Linked DNA regions of Nothobranchius furzeri. Each later gene encodes a partner of the first gene's protein in a complex. Links are inferred from orthologs where the notes say so. Each region holds a gene or a part of one and is shown in the gene's direction. Other genes may lie near its edges.

Region 1 (3,900 bases):
CAGCTCGGAGCCTGCAGATCCAGTATGGTGTGTGGAAATTTAGGCTAAGTGACCGAATTTGGTCAGAGTGAGGATGTTGTGCAATATGAAAACCAGCCAAATGGAACCGAATAAACCAAGCCTTTTGTCAGCTTTAAGGGATGATTGCTGTGGTGATGGTAGTCGGAGAATAGATTAGAACTTTATCCCACGTCAGCTACCATGACTGTTTGTTAATCAATCATGTCTTAAACCAAATCTTCTAACAGGAGAAAGGTGAACTCATCATTCACTGGGTCATTCATTACCACAGTGATGCGGTTAATTAGTCATGAAATGAAAAAAATATAACTTTTAGACATATCTAATGATCATTTAGACTCTCTCTCTCTAGGGAGTGCCACAATGTGCTGCTATGTCGTCAGACTGGAACGTTTTTTCTTTAACCTTTATACTATCTTTTTCTTCTTTGATTGTACTGCAGTAAATTGCACAATAAGTGTTTTTTCTTCGTGTTTTTCCACTATTAGAATTGTACACCCACACTTTAAATAAAATAACGTCTCTAAATCTAAGTAAGACTGAAAGATTGATGATTTATTTGTTTATTCGTAATGGTATTTTCAAGTTTTAAAAGTGCTTCAGCATTTAAATAAGTCCTTGAAAACAACTGAAACTGACTTTATGGTGCAGACGTTTCCTTTAATGAGACAGCAAAGTGACGTGATTGTTGTGAACAAGTATAAACGGTCTCTGTGCAACACCGGTGTAACGTGCTGGAAAATATTTAAAAACTCCATCTTAAAGTGCTTGAAAAGGGTTTACATTTTATTATTTACAAAGTGTGTTAGGAAGCCTGCAAAAAATCAAGTACGACACGTAGTATTTGACATTGCATGATGAGTTAGGGTTGGGTTTTTACAAATTTTTCTTTGGAATCTCTTTTTGTGGAAGAATTTGAGTTTGAACGCAGAGTAAAACTCCAAACTAATCATTTTTCAAGCTGTATCCATTTTACAGCAAGTGTGCCAAATATACACATTGTTCTAAATTTGTGAACTTGTTAAGAATCAGAAATACTTCACAGCATCAAATATTAACAGTTTTTTTTGTAAAGTACACAAACAACACGTGCACGTTTTAATTGAAGTGTGGCAAACAAGCTTTACAAATAAAGAGTGCTCCGAGATTTCCTAAAAAATGTATTCATGTTGCAAATTTCTAATTATGTTATCTAGACTGTAAACATAATTTCTGTTTGTTATTGAGCTGTTTGAAAATCTGTTTGTTCTCCATGCATGAATACGAAATACATTTAATACTAGAAGTATTTCTCTAGTTGATCATCCAAAAAGATGATCATCCAAAAAGATATTGCTGGAAAACATAACGTAAATATATTTATTTTAAAAGTACTTGCTGGAGTGAAAAGTAATTATTTCAAATAATTAATTATTTAAAATTTTTATTTTTTGTGTGCGGCTTTCACATTAAAAAATAATAAATAAATAAATTGGGACTTTTTAAAAGAGTTTTTCGAATTGAGCGACTATGACGTAAATTTAACGCGTCTCCTGCGTCGCTGATTTGATGACGTCGTGAAGCGTTTGTTTTCCGTGGGGTTTAAAAGAAGTCACATTGAACATAGCTGCTTTATCTATAGTTAGTCCGTTTTCTTCCCGCCACTTAAATACTCTATTTTATATTTTGGGGTAAGTGTTTCAGAATATTTAGTGGGAAGTTTCATAATTGTGTCTTTCAGATTGTATCCATGGTTAACGCTAACTAGCTAGCTAGCTGTTGCCGGTCAAACCGTTCTCTGGTACTCAGAGATGTTTGTTTAATTTAATGTTCAGCTGTGATCGATTTGAACTCTTTATTTGATCCATTTCAGGTTAGAATTTGCTCATTTTTGAGTCAAGATGTCGTACATGTTACCGCATCTCCACAATGGATGGCAGGTCGACCAAGCCATCCTGTCTGAGGAGGACCGAGTCCTCGTCATCCGCTTCGGACACGACTGGGACCCAACATGTATGAAGATGGACGAGGTTCTTTACAGCATCGCTGAAAAGGTTTGATTTGTTTCCTGTCTTTATTATATAAAGTCCGGTTGGCTCAGATTCAGGAGTCGCGTCACATTACCTGCTGGCGTGCTCCAAATGCCATGTTTAATTCATTCTTGGTTTGTTTATTTACAGGTGAAGAACTTTGCTGTCATTTACCTCGTGGACATCACAGAAGTGCCTGATTTCAATAAGATGTACGAGTTGTACGACCCCTGCACTGTCATGTTCTTTTTCAGGTAGCTCTTCCAGTTCCACATGTTGCAATAGACAGGGCAGCTGAGTAAACATATTTTAAGGTGATATTTTTGTCTTTCTCTTCCAGGAACAAACACATCATGATTGATTTGGGCACCGGTAACAATAACAAGATCAACTGGATAATCGAGGACAAACAGGAGATGATAGATATTGTTGAAACTGTGTATCGAGGAGCAAGGAAAGGAAGAGGTTTGGTGGTGTCTCCCAAGGATTACTCTACAAAATACAGATACTGATTTTTTTTCATCCTCCTTTGTTCAGTTTATTATTTTTTCATTTGACAAAATGAAGAGACAAAAAACACAAAAGGTTCAGGAATATTCTTCAGCGTGTTTACCTTTGGTAGTAAAACAGGACATTGTTGATAATGGTGGGTTTAATGTCACTTTTTGTTTTTGCAAACGTAGCTTCATAAATATTAAGTTTTGTGTTTTTTAAGGCTTATTTCTGTGAAATATGTCAGTGTGGAACACATCGGTAATATTGTACAACTTGTAACTGTTTTAATAAAAAACTTTTACTTAAGATTTAAATGTAGTGTTTTAATTTATTTTATATATATATATATATATATATATATATATATATATATTCTGAACCTGCTTGTCCATGTAGGGTCGCGGGGGGCTGGTGCCTATCTCCAGCTGTCACTGGGCAACCAGGCGGGGTTCACCCTGGACAGAGCCAGTCTATCTAGTACTTCTAAGGCCTATAAAATAAACATGTTTATCATGAGTACAAGCTGTTCCACCACATCATTAAGTATAAGACTGATAGATTTATGAGTGTAAAACTTAAAATCCTGCTTTTCTGTTGTTAATACTCTTAATTCTAGAAGGCTTTTAATGACTGGCTAAAAAATATGGCTATAAGTTTATAAATATAATGAATATATGATCTTATTTAATTATGGTTATGCAAAATAAGATAGTAGACAGGCTTTTTAAAATGTTAAGTATTTTAAATAAAACGAATCTGTGCATAATGTTGGAAATCATACCATTTTAATGACATACCTGGAATCTTCCACTAGAGGGAGTTAGAGCTCTTGACTGCACCTTTGCCTCATTGGATCATTGTAAAACTTCATTATAACATTAATTAATAGTGATACTAAATGTAGAAGGACGTATGAGCCAAACACCAGTGAGAGATGAACACTGAAACCAAGAGTAATACATTTTAATGCAAATTTTTTTATAGGAAATGCACTGAGGCACAATATTAAATACCACACTGGCCAAAAAAAGTCACATTAATATTTCTTTGAATTGCCTTTAGCTTCAGTTACGACACACATTTGCTGTAGCATTGTTTCCATACGCTTCTGCAGTGTCACCAGATTCACTTCCATCCAGTGTTGCATTAACTTTTCACCAAGATCTTGCATTGATGATGGTAGAGTCTGACCGCTGCACAAAGCCTTCTCCAGCACATCCTCAATGGGGTTAAGGTCTGGTGACCAATCCATGTGTAAAATGATGTCTCGTGCTCCCTGAACCACTCTTTCACTGTTTGAGCTTGATGAATCCGGGCATCGTCATCTTGGAATATTCCCGTGTCATCAGGGAAGATGGAATAACCTGGTCATTCA
Region 2 (4,896 bases), on another chromosome or scaffold:
AAAGTAAAAGTTACTTAGTTACATTTTTGTCAGCGTAAGGATGGCTACATCTAAGTAGTGCTAAATCGCAACGGCAGTTCACAATTCGCTTGTGTGTGCGCACACACACACTCAAACACGCACGGCTTGAAGGAAGGATTTCTATCCAATCAGTGAGAACAGGACGTGCACATTGATTGGACGAGGTTTTTCTAGGATGGTAAGTTTCAATTGTGATTCAAATTATTCTTTATTTTGAGAAAAAATAATTTTTTTAGATGCCATCAGCATGTGAGGTATCTCAATGTCCTCATGACAAAACTCTAACATGAGACTGTGCTCTAACCTGTCACATAGCAAGCCTAATGCAGTCAAACATGTCAGATGGACCGTATGACAGCTGCTAACGTTGGCCCTGCCCTACTTTACCTCTACATTACAGTTCCTTTATCCATGTCCATCCTAGAGATCCTCTCTGACCTTCATGCTTATTTAGAGCAGCTGATTTTTAAAGCTAGCAGAGTTCATCCTTGGCAGTGGGTTCACTCACTCATTTAACCCTTCACCACTGAAATCAGTTTGTTCATTTCAATCCTCCTAAATAATCCTCCAATCATCCAACTGGAATCCTTAAGGGTCCCGTAACATCCATCCTGTCAGAACAGGCCTTGGGAGCCCAGGTGTTACTAGAACTAACGGTGTCTCCTCACCAGCGTGAGCCTCCAAACATGAACTTTAAATTCATGCATTTATCTCCTCTTGTAACACTTTAACATGTTTTAAAAGGCTTGTATCATGATAAGTTACACCTCCCAGACCAAAGATAAGATAAAACATTATCATAAACACTGCAGAGACGTCATTATTTATGAAATATATGTTATTTTCCTGAGCCGTTACTTCACCCAAGATATGAGATGCATGGATTTGATGAAACCACGCTGTCTCATGCAGTCCTATATGTGTAACACACACACACACACACACACACGCACGCCATGACTAATTTAACTACATTGAATTGCTTTAGTAATAATTTAATCTCTAATTCTGGAGTAAAATAAAGAAACAAGCTAAATCATCACATATCTGTGGCATCAAGGAGCAACTTCTGAGTTCAAACACAGGGATGGAGCACAATGTTTACACCTGAACAGTATCATGATGTTTTAACTCACAGAGGCCTGCAGCTCTTCTGTTTATGAGCAAAGCGCTGATAATCCGCTTGTTATGAGCACTAAACAGTATTTTGCCGCTGCCGTGCGGAGCGGTAGGGAAACACATTTCAAACACGGAACCGAGTCTCGCTACCGAACCGAGCAGAATTCTGATGATGTCACACTGGTGCGCGAAGGTGCAGGTTCCAACCACAGGAGAGGAGGGAGAGAGGTGATAAACAGCGAGTTGATCGACTGAACTGATGATGTCTTTGAGCAAAAGTGTACACCCCCACACACCCCCGGTTTAGATGCGGTCCTCATGCAGGTGTCTCTTTCCGTTCTGACGCTGCTTCACGTAATATTTTTAATTTATTAAGCCTATAATTTATTTTTACTCAGTAACGGATATGATTTAAAATGTAGCGAATTACAATTCTTTTTAAAAAACTTACTCAAGTAAAAGTACAGATTTTAAAAATGACTTAAAAAGTATAAATATACAAAAAAGCTACTCAATTACAGTAACGTGAGTAAATGTAATTCATTACTTTCCACCTCTGTCGGATGCTCGAGCATCAGGAAGCAGAAAAGGAAAGACAATAGAAAATGTTTAAAGGGAGGAAAACGTAGACCAAAATGAAAAATAAATTTAAAAAAGGCAAAAGCTCAGGAGCACTGACAGGAAGAAGAAAGCAGAGCAAATATTGGAGGCACTCAAAGGGAGAGAAAGACATGAATAAAGAGGAGGACTAATAAAAAGGGAAAATAACTCATGGCAGAAGAGGGGAGAGTTTTGTAAATCCAATTAAAAGTAAGATTGCCGAAATTTATTTTAAGGGGGCCCCATGTCTGTGCTCGCCTTGGGCCCCAAATTGCTAAATGCGCCACTGATAGGGCTATAGTGTGTTTCATTTCTGTACCCAATATTTTGTCTTTAGGGTTGTAGCTCTGACATCACCTACTCACACGTTTAAACAACTTTCCAGATCAATGTTTGATGATAACATTTGGAGGAATTTGAATAAAAAAAACGTCACCGCTCGACCCTCCGCGCCCCTTCCTGCGCGATGATTCGGCGTATGATTAGTCTTGACTTGTCTCCGGTGTTTTGGTGCGGTGCGGTTTGATGCTCTTTCCGTTTTATTTTTTTACACAGCGGCGCAAATAGACAACCGTTGGAGGGATTTACCGATTTTTCTGCTGGACAGATAGAGACCGAGTCCGGGACGAAGCATGTCCACCGCGCTGGAGAGCTACATCAACCGTATCTTGCTGCTAGCATGCTAACTGCATGCTTAAGAAGTGCTAGTTAGCTTAGCGCGCTAGCTTCGATGTTTATGTAATTTGTTGTTGTTTAGGTGGAGTTTAGAGACGGTAAAAGCTAAAGCGACAAAAAAACTACTCATTTTTATTTAGAACTGAATGAACATACCTGGAATAACTTTTACGTAGCAGTTCAATTTCAAATCAGTGTTTGCATAAAAAAAAATCACTGATAGAATTTTATATGATCAGATGGCGTCAAAACGTAGATATTAACGGTTCTGATCTGCGTTAGTTCGGTTTCACGGGTTGTGAATAAAATATATTTAGTTTGTTTCTGATTTAAGATGTCGGGTTATTTAACTGAAGCACACCCATCGTTGTTGTTCGGGTGAAAACGGAGAAGCTAGACGTAATTTACTGATGAGTTGTGCACAGATGATGTTTCCTTGACTCCAGCTGATCCAGGAACTGTTGCCATCGTCACCTCAGACGGGAGGATGATCGTGGTGAGTTCACGTTTTCAGCTCAGCTGGACAGCAGAGAAGATGATACGGTTCTGGTGTTTAGATGTTTGAGGCTCCAGCACAAGGATTTCCCCTCCACCTGAACCGAAGCCTCATTTAAACCGGTGTCGGTCACAGGGGATTTAGTTTTTCCCTCGACTGTAAATCCAGAAATCTAGTCCTGTTCCCATCACTACAGATGCTGACAGACACGTTTTTACTTTTATGGTCAGATTTTTACTGTTTTGGGGCATAAAACTGCAGATAACTGAAAATCATTTTGAAATAAAAGTTCAAGTGTAATCTGAACTATTAGTATTTTATTAGCCTGGTTGTTTTAAGTATGATTCATTGTAGCTCAACACCACCAGCGTGTTGATGAATAATAATATTAAGTTGCTTTGGAATCCTCTGACTGAAAGGTGCTGTACTTATTTATTTATATTTATTTATTTATCATTTGGGTGTTCAGGGCACTTTGAAGGGCTTTGATCAGACCATCAACCTGATCCTGGATGAGAGCCACGAGCGCGTGTTCAGCTCCAACCAGGGGGTGGAGCAGGTGGTGCTGGGCCTCTACATCGTTAGAGGAGACAACGTGTGAGTCACCTCGGTCAAACTAAAACTAAATGAGAAATGATGACCCCTAAGGACGTCCCGGTGCACGGGGAGCTCGGCTGCTCCTCGGACAGCTTCTAACCGTTTCTCGTGTTTCTGCTCCAGCGCCGTGATCGGGGAGATTGATGAGGAGACCGACTCCACGCTGGATTTAGGGAACATCAGAGCTGAGCCGCTCAACTCTGTTGTACACTGACCTTTGAACCCTGCTGTCTCCATGGCAACCCATCACAGTACAGCTCAGTTCTGTTGCTGTCGTGTTCTGGGAGGCGTGATGAGTGGTGAAGCTGCAGAACCTCGATTGTTCTGTTTCTGTTTGTATTTTTTATAAATAACATGTTGGATTTGTTTTCTACTTCATGTTTTTGTCAGTCTGAGATCATTTTAATAAAGTCTGATTTGTTAAGCTGTTTATAATGAAGTCCTCCGGTCTCTAAACATCCAGACTCTGGAGCAGAACAAGAAAACAACACATAAACAATGAAACTTTAATAAAATATGTGGAAAAACAAGATCGTTGCCAAAGAAACATTAAATAGCGCCAACTCTACGGCTTTGTTCAAACAGCTCATGGTCTCTATTTTAGTTCTGATATCTTTAGTCATGAATGAGTAATTATTTCTCCATCTGGAAGAAGAATGAGGATCTGTCCTGTTCTCATTTGTCTAGCATCGATTAATCGGGGCTGCCTATGGACAATCGTTAGCATTGACTGCCGATGCTCGCTTGGATTAGAGGCGATTGAATCCACTTGAGAATCGTTCGTGGAGCCGGGAGAGGAGGGGAGCGCTTTGTCAAGCAGGAATTTATCAGGAGAGCCCCGATGTTCAAGGTTCAAGGTTGTCTTTATTAATCCCCAAGGGGGAAATTGAATTGCCTTGGACAAGTAAACACAACATGCACATCCACACAATAAAACATTCACTGGTCCTAATAAAATATGAAAATATCAAATATACAATCATACGAAATGGTCATTGTAAAAACGCACTGCAGCTGGAATAAAAGAGTTCCTAAAACGTTCAGTGGAGCACCGGGGCGTTAACATTCGCCCACTGAAAGAGCTCCCGAGATCCTTAAAAATGTGGTGAAGGGGGTGATCCTCCAGAGTCATAACTGTCTTAAGTTTACGCTTAATCCTTTTGTCGATGATCATGTCAAATGAGTCCAAGCGTTGCCCAACCACTGAGCCAGATTTCTTGATCATTTTGTTGATCCTGTTTTTGTCCTCAGCAATGAGGCTCCTGCCCCAACACAACACAGCATAAAACAACACACTGGACATAATCCCCTGATAAAACACATTCAAGAGCCTCCTACTTATATCAAAGGATCTTAGCTTCCTAAGAAAAAACAATCTGGACTGGGCC
Region 3 (5,158 bases), on another chromosome or scaffold:
TCCGTCCTTCGGAGGAAGCTGACTGGGGTCCTCTGCAAAGGGAACGGCTGGAGACAACAAGCAGAAAGAAGTGAACTTGTCAGGCTTTTCTTGGACGTGCTGCAAGTATCCTACTGGTTATCGGTTTCAAACGACAGATGGCTTAACTAAAACCCAAAAGTGGTTTAAAGATGTCTGCAGGTGTTCAGTTTGAGCACCTGGTGTATATTACAGAGACGGGAAAGGCACTCACGGTTCTGAAACTGCTGGGCTGTGTATCTGGTTAGGAGAATGCCAAAACCTTCTATGAGAGCGAGTAAAACCCCGCCCATCATGGCCGAGCCCATCATGGTCAACGGCCCACCTGAGGCAAACCAAAACATTTGGTGAGTTACTGAGTTCCTGTCTAGTGTTTGGTTGTTGAGTGTTATCCTCACTGCGTGCTGCTAGAATGGCTCCAGTCAGCGCACCACTTGTTATAGAGTTCCACGGGTCTTCTTTCCCTCTCAGGCGAACCAAGCCACAGTCAATCGTAGAGAAGAGACCTCCCCATACGGCAAAGCTACCTGGTAGAAGAAGCACGTCAGTGCTGAAGCTCAGTTTAGAGAAAGGGACCAAAATCCTTCAGTGGTGTGTGAGGAGCAGAGCAGCAACGGGTCAAACCTCCAATCTGTGGGGCCCTCACTCTCACTGCCTTTGCACTTCCTCTTAGTCTGTGTCCAACACCCTGAAATGTTACAGACAGGTTTATAAAGGCTTCCAAGAAGTCAAGTCAAACTAGTCTGTTTTAAACTCACAGCAGGGGCATTTCGGAAGCCCTTGATGGCCTGGAACACCCCTCCACCGATGACACCCATGGAGAAAGCTCCTCCACAGTCGTCCACAATCCTCCAGGGGCTGCAGGAGGTTAGGGGAGGACACACAAGACACCGTCAAAATACAAGATATACAGTCAGATCAGGATACAGACGTCAACGGAACTGCGCTGCTCTGGGTGGCTGCATGTTGGAGTAGCTCTGTTGACTATATGTAAGTTTTGCCTTTTCTTGGGCATTTTTTCTTCTAGTTTCTCAAGAGAAACGGTATTTTTTTGGACACTACTTTTCTGTTTCTGGTGCTGTGAAGCTTGGAGGATTTTTACTGCTATTTTTTAGCTTTTTACACTTTTTGAGCATTTGTTATGATGCGTAACCATGGCAACAAGCTGGTTTACAATCGGGAGCAGCTGATTAACATTGGAAAGGCTGAAATAATACCTCAACTGAAGCCACAAATCCCAAATGAGCTAAAACGCAAGAAGCGTGGGTGCAGAGCGGGAGCAAAACGGAGACAGAGAAAGAGGAAATTCAAACCGTCTCTTCCATCGATCATAACGGGCAATGTGAGATCACTGGCCAACAAGATGGAGGAACTCCAAGCCCTTTCAAGGACTCAGCCAGAGTTTCGGCAGTTTCGGAACCGCTGGAGGAGAAAATGCAAAGGAGGATTCTCCAGAGAATCAAGAAAATTATGGACAACCCTGAGCGTTCTCTTCACAAGACTGTCCGACAACGGAAGAGTGTCTTCAGTCAGAGGCTTCTTCAGTTTGGCTGCAACACTGACCGCTACTGGAGATCCTTCCTGCCAACAGCCATTGTAATATACAACAACTCTTTGATGACTTGTTTATTATTATTATTCTGAGCTACTACAGCAATCAATTTCCTCTGGGATTAATAAAGTATTTTTGAATTGCATTGAACGTAAGCACGTATATATACGTGGATTGACAGCAGAACTCACAACGCGTCTCTGTTCTCTCACATGTTTATGTTTCACTAGAAAAACCAACACTGGTATGTATGTTAGCCGTATTTAGTTTACAGTTAAAGACAAACTAATCTTACCAAGGTTCGCGGACATATTCCTCCATGTTTGTTTTCGTCTAGACGTTGTGACGTCATACACGTGCGACCGGCGCTACTAGTGCGTTGGCGGTGCTAACATCATTTTCTCTGCTATTGGGTGAATTTCTTTATCTCAGGTAAACTTGTTCCTGTTCGGATCCCGTTTTGAAGCGTAAACGTTCAGATTTTCGTTCCTTCCGGGCATGGAAGTACTTACGCAGTCTGCTTGTTGATTTAATCATCCAGCGGTTGCTAACAGGGTTAGCCTTCGGGTAAACGTTTGTTGTTCGTGCAAATAAATGCAGATTTTACGAATGTCAGACTGTTTCTACATCTGTAGTTAAAGTCTTTAAAAATAACACAACTCAAATGTTGAACATAACTTCAACTGAAAACGTAAGAACAGCATTTATTCAAATTGTATTGAAAGCCCGACGCCTTTTACTGCGTGTGCTGTTGGGAGCTTTATGTTCTCCATATTTCATTACAATGTTTTATCTGAAAGGTTTCTGTTCAGATGTTTATTTGTTATAAATTAACTCGTTTTTGTACGTAATTTGGCAGTAAAGAGACGTTTTGTTTATTGGGATAAACCCCGTTGTGTATAATTGAGGCTGTATACTTTAAATATCAGAACACATGAGAAACAAGTAAATTTTCTGTATCTTTGCTGTGGATTTATGAAACCACTGACCTCATGTACAGATGTTCGAGGTGACTGTTGTGACAGCATCTCGTGTTTTTCAGGATGCCTCTTCCTCCAGCTCTGCTGGCCCGCTTGGCCAAGAGGGGGATCGTTAAACCAACAGAACGAGGTTCTCATTTGGCTTGAACACGCTGGCTCCATGCATCCTTCTCTGTGACTTTACACGTATGTCGTGTAACAGTATTTTCTCCTTTAATAACAGGTGCAGATGAGGAGATTATTGCCGAAGATTATGATGACAATAATGTAGATTATGAAGCCACCAGAGCAGAGAATCTTCCTCCAAACTGGTACAAAGTGTTTGATCCAGCTTGGTACGTACACTGTACTGGTTATCTACGGTTCTTTGGTAGTTTTACCTCCAGTGCGCTTGTGTTTGGGTGTTTGCAGTCCAGATGAAGCTTTCCAGTGAATTCACAAAGCGATGTCATTGGGTCTCTTTTACATGTTTAGTATGTAAGCTGATTAGCCTTCTCTTCCTGATTTCCTGCCACCCTCAGTGGTCTTCCTTACTACTGGAATGTTGAGACGGATCTAGTCGCCTGGCTGTCCCCAAATGACCCCTCGTCTGTGATAACAAAAGCTGCCAAGAAAATGAAAGGTGGGTTTAAAAACTAAACTCGCCAGTTTTGCATAAGTGTCTTTAAAAAAGAAACGAGGAATGTTTTTCACAGAAATTGCATTATTATTTGTTTTTAGCTGATTTGGGAGATGAAAGAGGAGAGCGACCGTTTGAGAAGCCAGACAGAGAGAGAGAACGGGAAAGGGACAGAGACAGGGATAGGGACCGGGAAAGAGAAAGAGATCGGGACAGAGACAGGGACAGAGATGATGGGCGGGACAGAGACAGAAGAAAGCAAAGGAGGGACGACATGGCACCATACAACAAGAACAAAAGAGGTGATGCTTACAGAAGTCTTTCGTTTTCACGTTAAAGCTTTATCTGTGATACAATAACAGTTAAAATCTGATCGTGTTTGCAGGAAGAAAGGATGACGAGATGGACCCCATGGACCCCAGCGCTTATTCTGATGCTCCCAGGTAAAGTAAAACAAGCAGCAGGCAGGAAATTACCCCTGTCGTCATTCCACTCAGTTACATGTCAGCTTCAGCTTTGTAAGTTAAAGAACAAAGCAGACATTTAAGTCTTTAATTGAATGCACAGCACTGCAGCAGCGGTGTAACATGATGCATGCTGGGTAGAAACTTTGGACGACTGCTGCTGGCACTGCAAAGCAGGCGCCAAGTCACGTGGCTCTGAAACCTCATGGGAGCGAGGTGGCTGCAGTTTTCTGAGTCACACGCTGCAGTCCCTCTCCTCCGGTTTCACCCTCTGGGCTGGACCCGCCGGAACTGAACTCTGGTGCATGATCATGTTTTTATTTACGTCTTTAAAGCTACTTGAATCAAACATGTGATTTATACAGTTTTAGCCTCGGGGTCTTCTAAAGTAGTCGTTCTACTTTCATTAGTATCATTTTTCTTTCGGCCAAGCTTTCTGCAGTCTAGGCTTTAAATTCAGCTAAATCCCGTGTTTTGGAAAAGCTGCACCTGTCACCTTGACCCATTATTACAACTTTCTTTACATATTATTTATTCAAAACTCAACGCCTGGCTTTATAGTGATGGCGTCTTTAGCCGCATCTATGGAAATGCCACTAATGCACACTTGCAGGAATAAAATTTGTAGTTTTCAACAAGTGGATTCCTGGAAGGCTTCTGGCTGAAACGGGTACTAAAGGGATCGGGTTCTGTGGTTTGTCCTGTCGACTGAAGTCAGAACTTTAGGTTTTTTTTGCAGAACAGCCCAACACATTTGTGTTGTGTGTAAAAACGCTCATTTGTGAGTCACTCTGGACAAACGCGTCTGCTGAATACACGAAACGGTCAAGTTAACCAGCTGAAACGGCTCTAGCGCTAGCTAAACAACCAGGCGTTAGCAAACAAGCTGGCCCACTCTAAAGGTCTGCTGAACTGTTTTCCACAGGGGCTCTTGGTCGAGTGGTCTTCCCAAACGCAACGAGGCCAAAACCGGTGCAGACACCACAGCCGCCGGCCCGCTGTTCCAGCAGCGGCCGTACCCGAGTCCAGGCGCGGTGCTGCGGGCCAACGCTGCCAACCAACCGCCCAAGGAATGAGAAGCGCTCCCACGGAGACGCTCTGCGTCCTGCGCACACCTCTTGTTGTTAGACGTGATGTCGCATGCTGACATTTTAGAGATCAAACTTGTTGTAAATATGTTTTATAATAAAATGGATTTCATGTTGTTACTAGAACCACCAGTTAACATAATCAGTTCTTACTCTGGTGAGAAAAGCATCTGCTGGGGCTCGTCGTAACTGTAAGAACGCCTGCACAAACACTTTTCCAAGGTTTTATTAAAAATTCCAAAGTGTTAAAATACTGTCCATCATTAGAAAAGCAACACTTAAGACGAGGCGAAGGACCAGGCTTCAGTGGTCTCCTACGTAGTGACAAATGCAGTCGTAATCCAGCGTGAACAGCTCCTCCTCGCATCTGTCCAGCTGGACCGTGGCTCTGCACTTGTTCTTGTCCCGCTGAAGAATCCGGCCCACCTGATCAAGCC
Region 4 (4,703 bases), on another chromosome or scaffold:
TCAGGTTCAGCACCATGGAGAGGGTACTTCACACGTACTGATAATCTCATATTAGAGGTCTGTCAAGTGCAGGACATTTAAGGAAATATTAAAATCTTCCTCAACATTGTTAAATATAAAACTTGTTTAAGATTCTCAACTTTATTTTTTTCCTTCTTTTGGCAGGTCGGTCACATCCTGGTGTCCATCTATGGTCTGACGCAGCAGATAAGGTGTCAGAGGAGTGGGAAGCAGACATCTGATCTGGAGAAGCCAGTTGAGAGCATGGAGCAGCTCATCCTTCAAAACTGCAATCCTACTTATTTGGTAGCAAAATTACTTTAATAATTCAGGTTTATAGTCTTTAATTTCAATGACTGACAATGCAAGCCTTATGTTTCTTCTTGCATTCTTTAAGACAGAGACAACTTCTTGCTCAACTGTTCGGAAAATACAAGGAAAGAAGAGGAAGAGGAAATTATTCATCAACATAATCAAATTACTGATTACTTGTTGGCAAAAACTTCAGAGCAGCTACAAATCTAAGTAGGGTCTGGTGTGACTGGTAACTTCTCACAAAAACACCAGTTTAAGTATATTCACAGCACCGTGATATGACCCTTTTTGCAAAGATAGCTGATAATAAACATGAATGTTAAGTTCTCATTAGTGTTCTTGCTCTTTCTGCATTTGTTAGCATTGCTCCTTGTTATGTTGTTATAGTTTCATTGTAACCACAAATAAGCTAAATGCAAATATTCAGCATTATGCACATTTCAAAGTCTCATGTGATGTGTTTGTGAGTCAAACGTAAATGTGTCTCTGTGTGTTATCCTGTGAATTCAATGTCAGATTTTCTTCATAAAAATATTAAGAAAACAACAAAAATAATTTATATTATTCTCTTCTTAATGTTAGTTAGTATTTAGAGAGTCCCACCTTTGATAATTCCAAAAGGCCATTGCAAATTATTTTTTTAATAATTCAAAGGAACTGGTGCTTTTAAAAGAGAAGAGGAGATGGGACATTAATGCCCTCTGGTGGCACAGAGATGAACTACAGTCTAGTTCAATTAAAAAAAACTTTTTTGCATTATCATTATCATCATCATCATCATCATTATTATTATTATTATTATTATTATTATTATGAAAAACATCCCATTTTTGTCTTATTGGGGATGATGGAGGACTAGAAAGAGCAATCACAAAAATTTAATTAGCGCAAACACTTCCTGTAAATTATTACAAAACATGACATGTCTGAGTTAACAAGAGAGGAACTCGCAGCCTCTAGCTGTCTTTTTTATTAAGCTAAAAACCCAATTGAAATATTTTCGACATTTCCAAATCAGTCTTGTTCACAATCACTCCTTCCAATGGGTATTGCATAGAACAGTCCAACATAAATATTGACAATAATAATAAGTAAAACATTTTATAATGAAATTTTGCCAGAATATAATCTTACTAATTTAAAGGGCAATGTAAAATAAATGTACTGCAATGGAAAATGTTAATCCTGAGTACATAAAATAAATAGTTTTTAAACAGTCTTATAAATTTATTTTAGCGAGTTTTGCTCATTGTTGGGCTTTTTACATAGCAAAAGCGATTACAGCATCAATTCTGCCACTGCGAAAAAAATCTGCTTTAAAATCTTTTTATTGCTTCATTTTCCCAAACCTAAATTTCTAAAAAGATATATTAAGAAAAACTTGGAGGCCAAGTTGTGCAAAAGAGCGGAACTGTTCTAATGAGACACTGTTTCCACCCTGAGCATTTATTTTGTTACACAGATTTCCGGCAAACGAAATAGCAGCGTTGTTGTTTGGAACGTCCACTAGTGTAACTGTAGGTACAGTTTGTTTTTATAAGTGGACGCGTAGACCGTAAAATGGGGTTTTTCGAAATGTAATTAGTTTTTTTTACTTTATTGATAATCTTCGCTGCTTAAATAAGATACTTTAAAACCCTAAAATTAGCATTCGCGTTCAAATACGGAAACACTTGAATGATGAACAGCTCACGTAGCACCTGAGAGAATTTACGCATGTTTCTCAGTAAATATAGTTTGTAGATTAGTAGTAAACAAAGATGGCCAGCAGCAGCTCTTCGAACATGGATCCAGATGTTGCTTGGTCGTTATTTGAAGAAGGAGCTACTTTGGTTCTGCTGGGTGTTCCTCAGGGCACCGAGCTTGGGATTGACTGCAAAAGCTGGCAGGTTGGTCCTCGGTTTCGTGGTGTTAAGATGATCCCCCCTGGTTTACACTTCCTCCATTACTGCTCTGTAAACTCGCCAAGCTGTGGTGGAGAAATCGGTCCTAAAACGGGTCTTTTCCTCACCCTGAAACCAAGAGAAATTCTCCTGGCCAACTGGGATCCCAAAGAAGAAGATCTGGATTTCTCAGCCTCCAGGAATGAAGAGGAAGTGAACAGGATCCGGGGGACTTTGCGGGAGCTGGATCCCTTCTTGGGCCCTTATCCCTATGAGGTCATGAGGAAGTGGGTGTCTCTCACCGATCACATCAGCGAGAAGCTGGCCAGTGACTTACAGCCTCTGACGGGTCGAATCTGCGCCTTCAGTGATGTCGTCCCCGAGCTTCAGTTCAGACACACAAAAGACAGGGCAGAGCAGCCGAGGAACGACACGGCCTGCCAGAGCATGAAAGAGGGACTGGACAGGCTTCCCAAAATGAAGCACAGAGAAGGGACTGAACTGCGCTTTTCAGTTATTCCCAAAAAGACCTACCCTCCTGGGGCTACTCCAGCTGAGATCACGAAATGCAGCATGGACTTGAGCTATGCCCTGGAGGGGGTTCTGGAGAAGAAATACGAGAACCAGCCTCTAAACTTGCTTGGTTTGTGTCACAAAGATTAATGCACTGTTACAAGAATGCAACTGCCTAATGCCTATGCAACTAAATATCTGAATCTCAAATCTCTTCCAGGTGAGCTGCAGTTTGCTTTTGTGTGTTTCTTGATTGGGAATGTGTACGAGGGCTTTGAGCACTGGAAGAGCCTCCTGGCTCTGCTGTGCCGCTCGGAGGAGGCCATGAGGAGGAGGAAGGAGCTCTATCTGGGACTCATCACTGTGCTCTACCACCAGCTCGGAGAAGTCCCTCCTGACTTCTTTGTTGACATTGTGTCACAGAACAACTTCCTCACCAGCACGCTGCAGGTACAGCAGATGTGCAACAGCTGCACGCACAATGTTAGGGAAATATTCAAAATGTTTCTGAATCAGAAAAGAGCTGTCACTAGAGGCACAAACATCATGTTTTTATTTCTTGTGACCCTAAATTGTTTATAAATGTAACAAACAACTTGTACATTTCAGACCGGATATCCATCATTTTCCAGCATTTCCAGCCTTCATTTAAAACTATAAAAGGTAGCAGGGGACATGAATCCTTTCAACGAGGTCTTTAAGTAATATTTTCATTTAAAATCTGTCTTCAATTTTTTTTTCTTCTTTCAAAATGATTTTTAAGCAGCTACAAGATGGAAAATCTACTAGAGCAAGAATTAGGGTCCCATATTTTGTTTCTATTTGATCTCAAACTGGTGTTCTTCATTGGGGATTATTAAATCGACTTTTTATCTTGCAGGATTTTTTCCAGTTTGCCACTGGACCTGGTGTGGATGGGATCCTACAAAAGAAGGCAGAGAAGTTCAAAACCCACCTAACCAAGAAGTTTCGTTGGGATTTCGATGCAGATTTGGACGACTGTGCACCTGTAGTGGTGGAGCTGCCTGAAGGCGTCACAGTGGACTAATTCTCCCATCGTGCAGTTTCTCCTCTTGGCCTCATACCGGTTCTACAGCAGCACACTGCCACGGTTGTTCTGTGTGGTTCCAACATGTCTTCTATTGTTTGTCTTTTCATAAGGAGAAGATAATATGTTCACGAATCATCTGTAGTGATGTAGTCAGAGAGAGGAGAGGTTTGATCTGAGGTCTGGTGGTTTTTATATTAAATAAAGTCAGTAACAATTTATTTTGTTTTATTTGTATAGTTGTTTCAAAAGAACATTTACATTCTACCACATTATTGGAAAGTTTTGAACAGTAGTTCATGAATCTATGAACAAATCTAAACATGCAAGACATCATATGCGTAACATTTGTTTCAAAATAAAGCACTATTGTCCAACAGGAAAGTGGGAACATATTTATATAAAGCAACCATGTGGTCAGGTTGCCCCTGAACGTCTCCCTAGTGAGGGGCTTTCCAGACACATCCAACCTGGAGAAGACCCAGGACACGCTGGAGGGACTGCGTCAGCTGGCCAGGCACTGCCTTAGGGTTCCCTTAGAGTAGCTGGCCCAAGTGGCTGGGGAGAAGGAAGTCTGGGCCTCGGCTTAGGCTGACCTGACCCGTGACCTGACTCTGGATAAGCGGCTGCAAATGGATGGATGAATGTCAGCCTCTTTTAATTATCATGAATGTTTAACATGTCCACTAGGGGGAACTGGAGGACTGGTTTTCACTATGAGCTCCTTTTAGTTTAGTCGGTTTTCAAAAACCACACAATAAAGGTTCTGTTTATAAAAGCAGGAACACCTCAAGATCCTACCAGGTTTTCAAACCTCAAACCTATCAAATACTTTTTTTTTTTCATATAAGCTGATAATTAAGAAGATGTGTGTTATGCACTGACTGGATCTGGATAACAAACACAGATCTATCTCTCTGTGTCCCCCTGCCAATATCTGATTG

Evidence for each region.
Region 2: txnl4a (region 1) and lsm8 share a complex: the UniProt entries of both Homo sapiens proteins name them as parts of the precatalytic spliceosome. The link is inferred for Nothobranchius furzeri from reciprocal best matches to the Homo sapiens genes TXNL4A and LSM8.
Region 3: the proteins of txnl4a (region 1) and pqbp1 are in contact, whole or in part, in a crystal structure (PDB 4BWQ), measured with the Homo sapiens proteins. The link is inferred for Nothobranchius furzeri from reciprocal best matches to the Homo sapiens genes TXNL4A and PQBP1. Residues at the interface, in NP_006692.1 of Homo sapiens: Gly11, Trp12, Val14, Asp15, Ile18, Asp68, Phe69, Met72, Tyr73, Glu74, Met82, Phe84, Asn87, His89, Met91, Gly97, Asn98, Asn99, Asn100, Lys101, Leu129; in NP_001027553.1 of Homo sapiens: Gln241, Gln242, Arg243, Pro244, Tyr245, Pro246, Ser247, Pro248, Gly249, Val251, Leu252, Ala254, Asn255.
Region 4: txnl4a (region 1) and aar2 share a complex: the UniProt entries of both Homo sapiens proteins name them as parts of the U5 snRNP complex. The link is inferred for Nothobranchius furzeri from reciprocal best matches to the Homo sapiens genes TXNL4A and AAR2.

What each region holds. Positions count from the first base shown.
Region 1 is NC_091751.1:22,094,652-22,098,551, forward strand, and holds txnl4a (thioredoxin-like protein 4A), read left to right. Parts: upstream 1-1,546; 5' UTR 1,547-1,691; intron 1,692-1,873; 5' UTR 1,874-1,901; coding exon 1,902-2,054; intron 2,055-2,180; coding exon 2,181-2,284; intron 2,285-2,370; coding exon 2,371-2,542; 3' UTR 2,543-2,831; downstream 2,832-3,900. UniProt on the Homo sapiens protein: Plays a role in pre-mRNA splicing as component of the U5 snRNP and U4/U6-U5 tri-snRNP complexes that are involved in spliceosome assembly, and as component of the precatalytic spliceosome (spliceosome B complex).
Region 2 is NC_091741.1:34,219,102-34,223,997, reverse strand, and holds lsm8 (LSM8 homolog, U6 small nuclear RNA associated), read left to right. Parts: upstream 1-1,747; 5' UTR 1,748-2,372; coding exon 2,373-2,403; intron 2,404-2,870; coding exon 2,871-2,911; intron 2,912-3,380; coding exon 3,381-3,508; intron 3,509-3,631; coding exon 3,632-3,722; 3' UTR 3,723-3,943; downstream 3,944-4,896. UniProt on the Homo sapiens protein: Plays a role in pre-mRNA splicing as component of the U4/U6-U5 tri-snRNP complex that is involved in spliceosome assembly, and as component of the precatalytic spliceosome (spliceosome B complex).
Region 3 is NC_091755.1:41,960,922-41,966,079, forward strand, and holds pqbp1 (polyglutamine-binding protein 1), read left to right. Parts: upstream 1-1,891; 5' UTR 1,892-2,002; intron 2,003-2,559; coding exon of another isoform or gene 2,560-2,564; exon of another isoform or gene 2,565-2,612; 5' UTR 2,613-2,613; coding exon 2,614-2,680; exon of another isoform or gene 2,681-2,683; intron 2,684-2,773; coding exon 2,774-2,885; intron 2,886-3,071; coding exon 3,072-3,172; intron 3,173-3,270; coding exon 3,271-3,471; intron 3,472-3,554; coding exon 3,555-3,612; intron 3,613-4,558; coding exon 4,559-4,709; 3' UTR 4,710-4,847; downstream 4,848-5,158. Other genes in the region: timm17b (mitochondrial import inner membrane translocase subunit Tim17-B), read right to left, coding at 1-47, 233-343, 417-545, 643-706, 777-876, 1,866-1,891; gpkow (G-patch domain and KOW motifs-containing protein), read right to left, coding at 5,025-5,147. UniProt on the Homo sapiens protein: Intrinsically disordered protein that acts as a scaffold, and which is involved in different processes, such as pre-mRNA splicing, transcription regulation, innate immunity and neuron development.
Region 4 is NC_091755.1:59,903,278-59,907,980, forward strand, and holds aar2 (protein AAR2 homolog), read left to right. Parts: upstream 1-1,878; 5' UTR 1,879-2,075; coding exon 2,076-2,841; intron 2,842-2,931; coding exon 2,932-3,161; intron 3,162-3,591; coding exon 3,592-3,759; 3' UTR 3,760-3,980; downstream 3,981-4,703. UniProt on the Homo sapiens protein: Component of the U5 snRNP complex that is required for spliceosome assembly and for pre-mRNA splicing.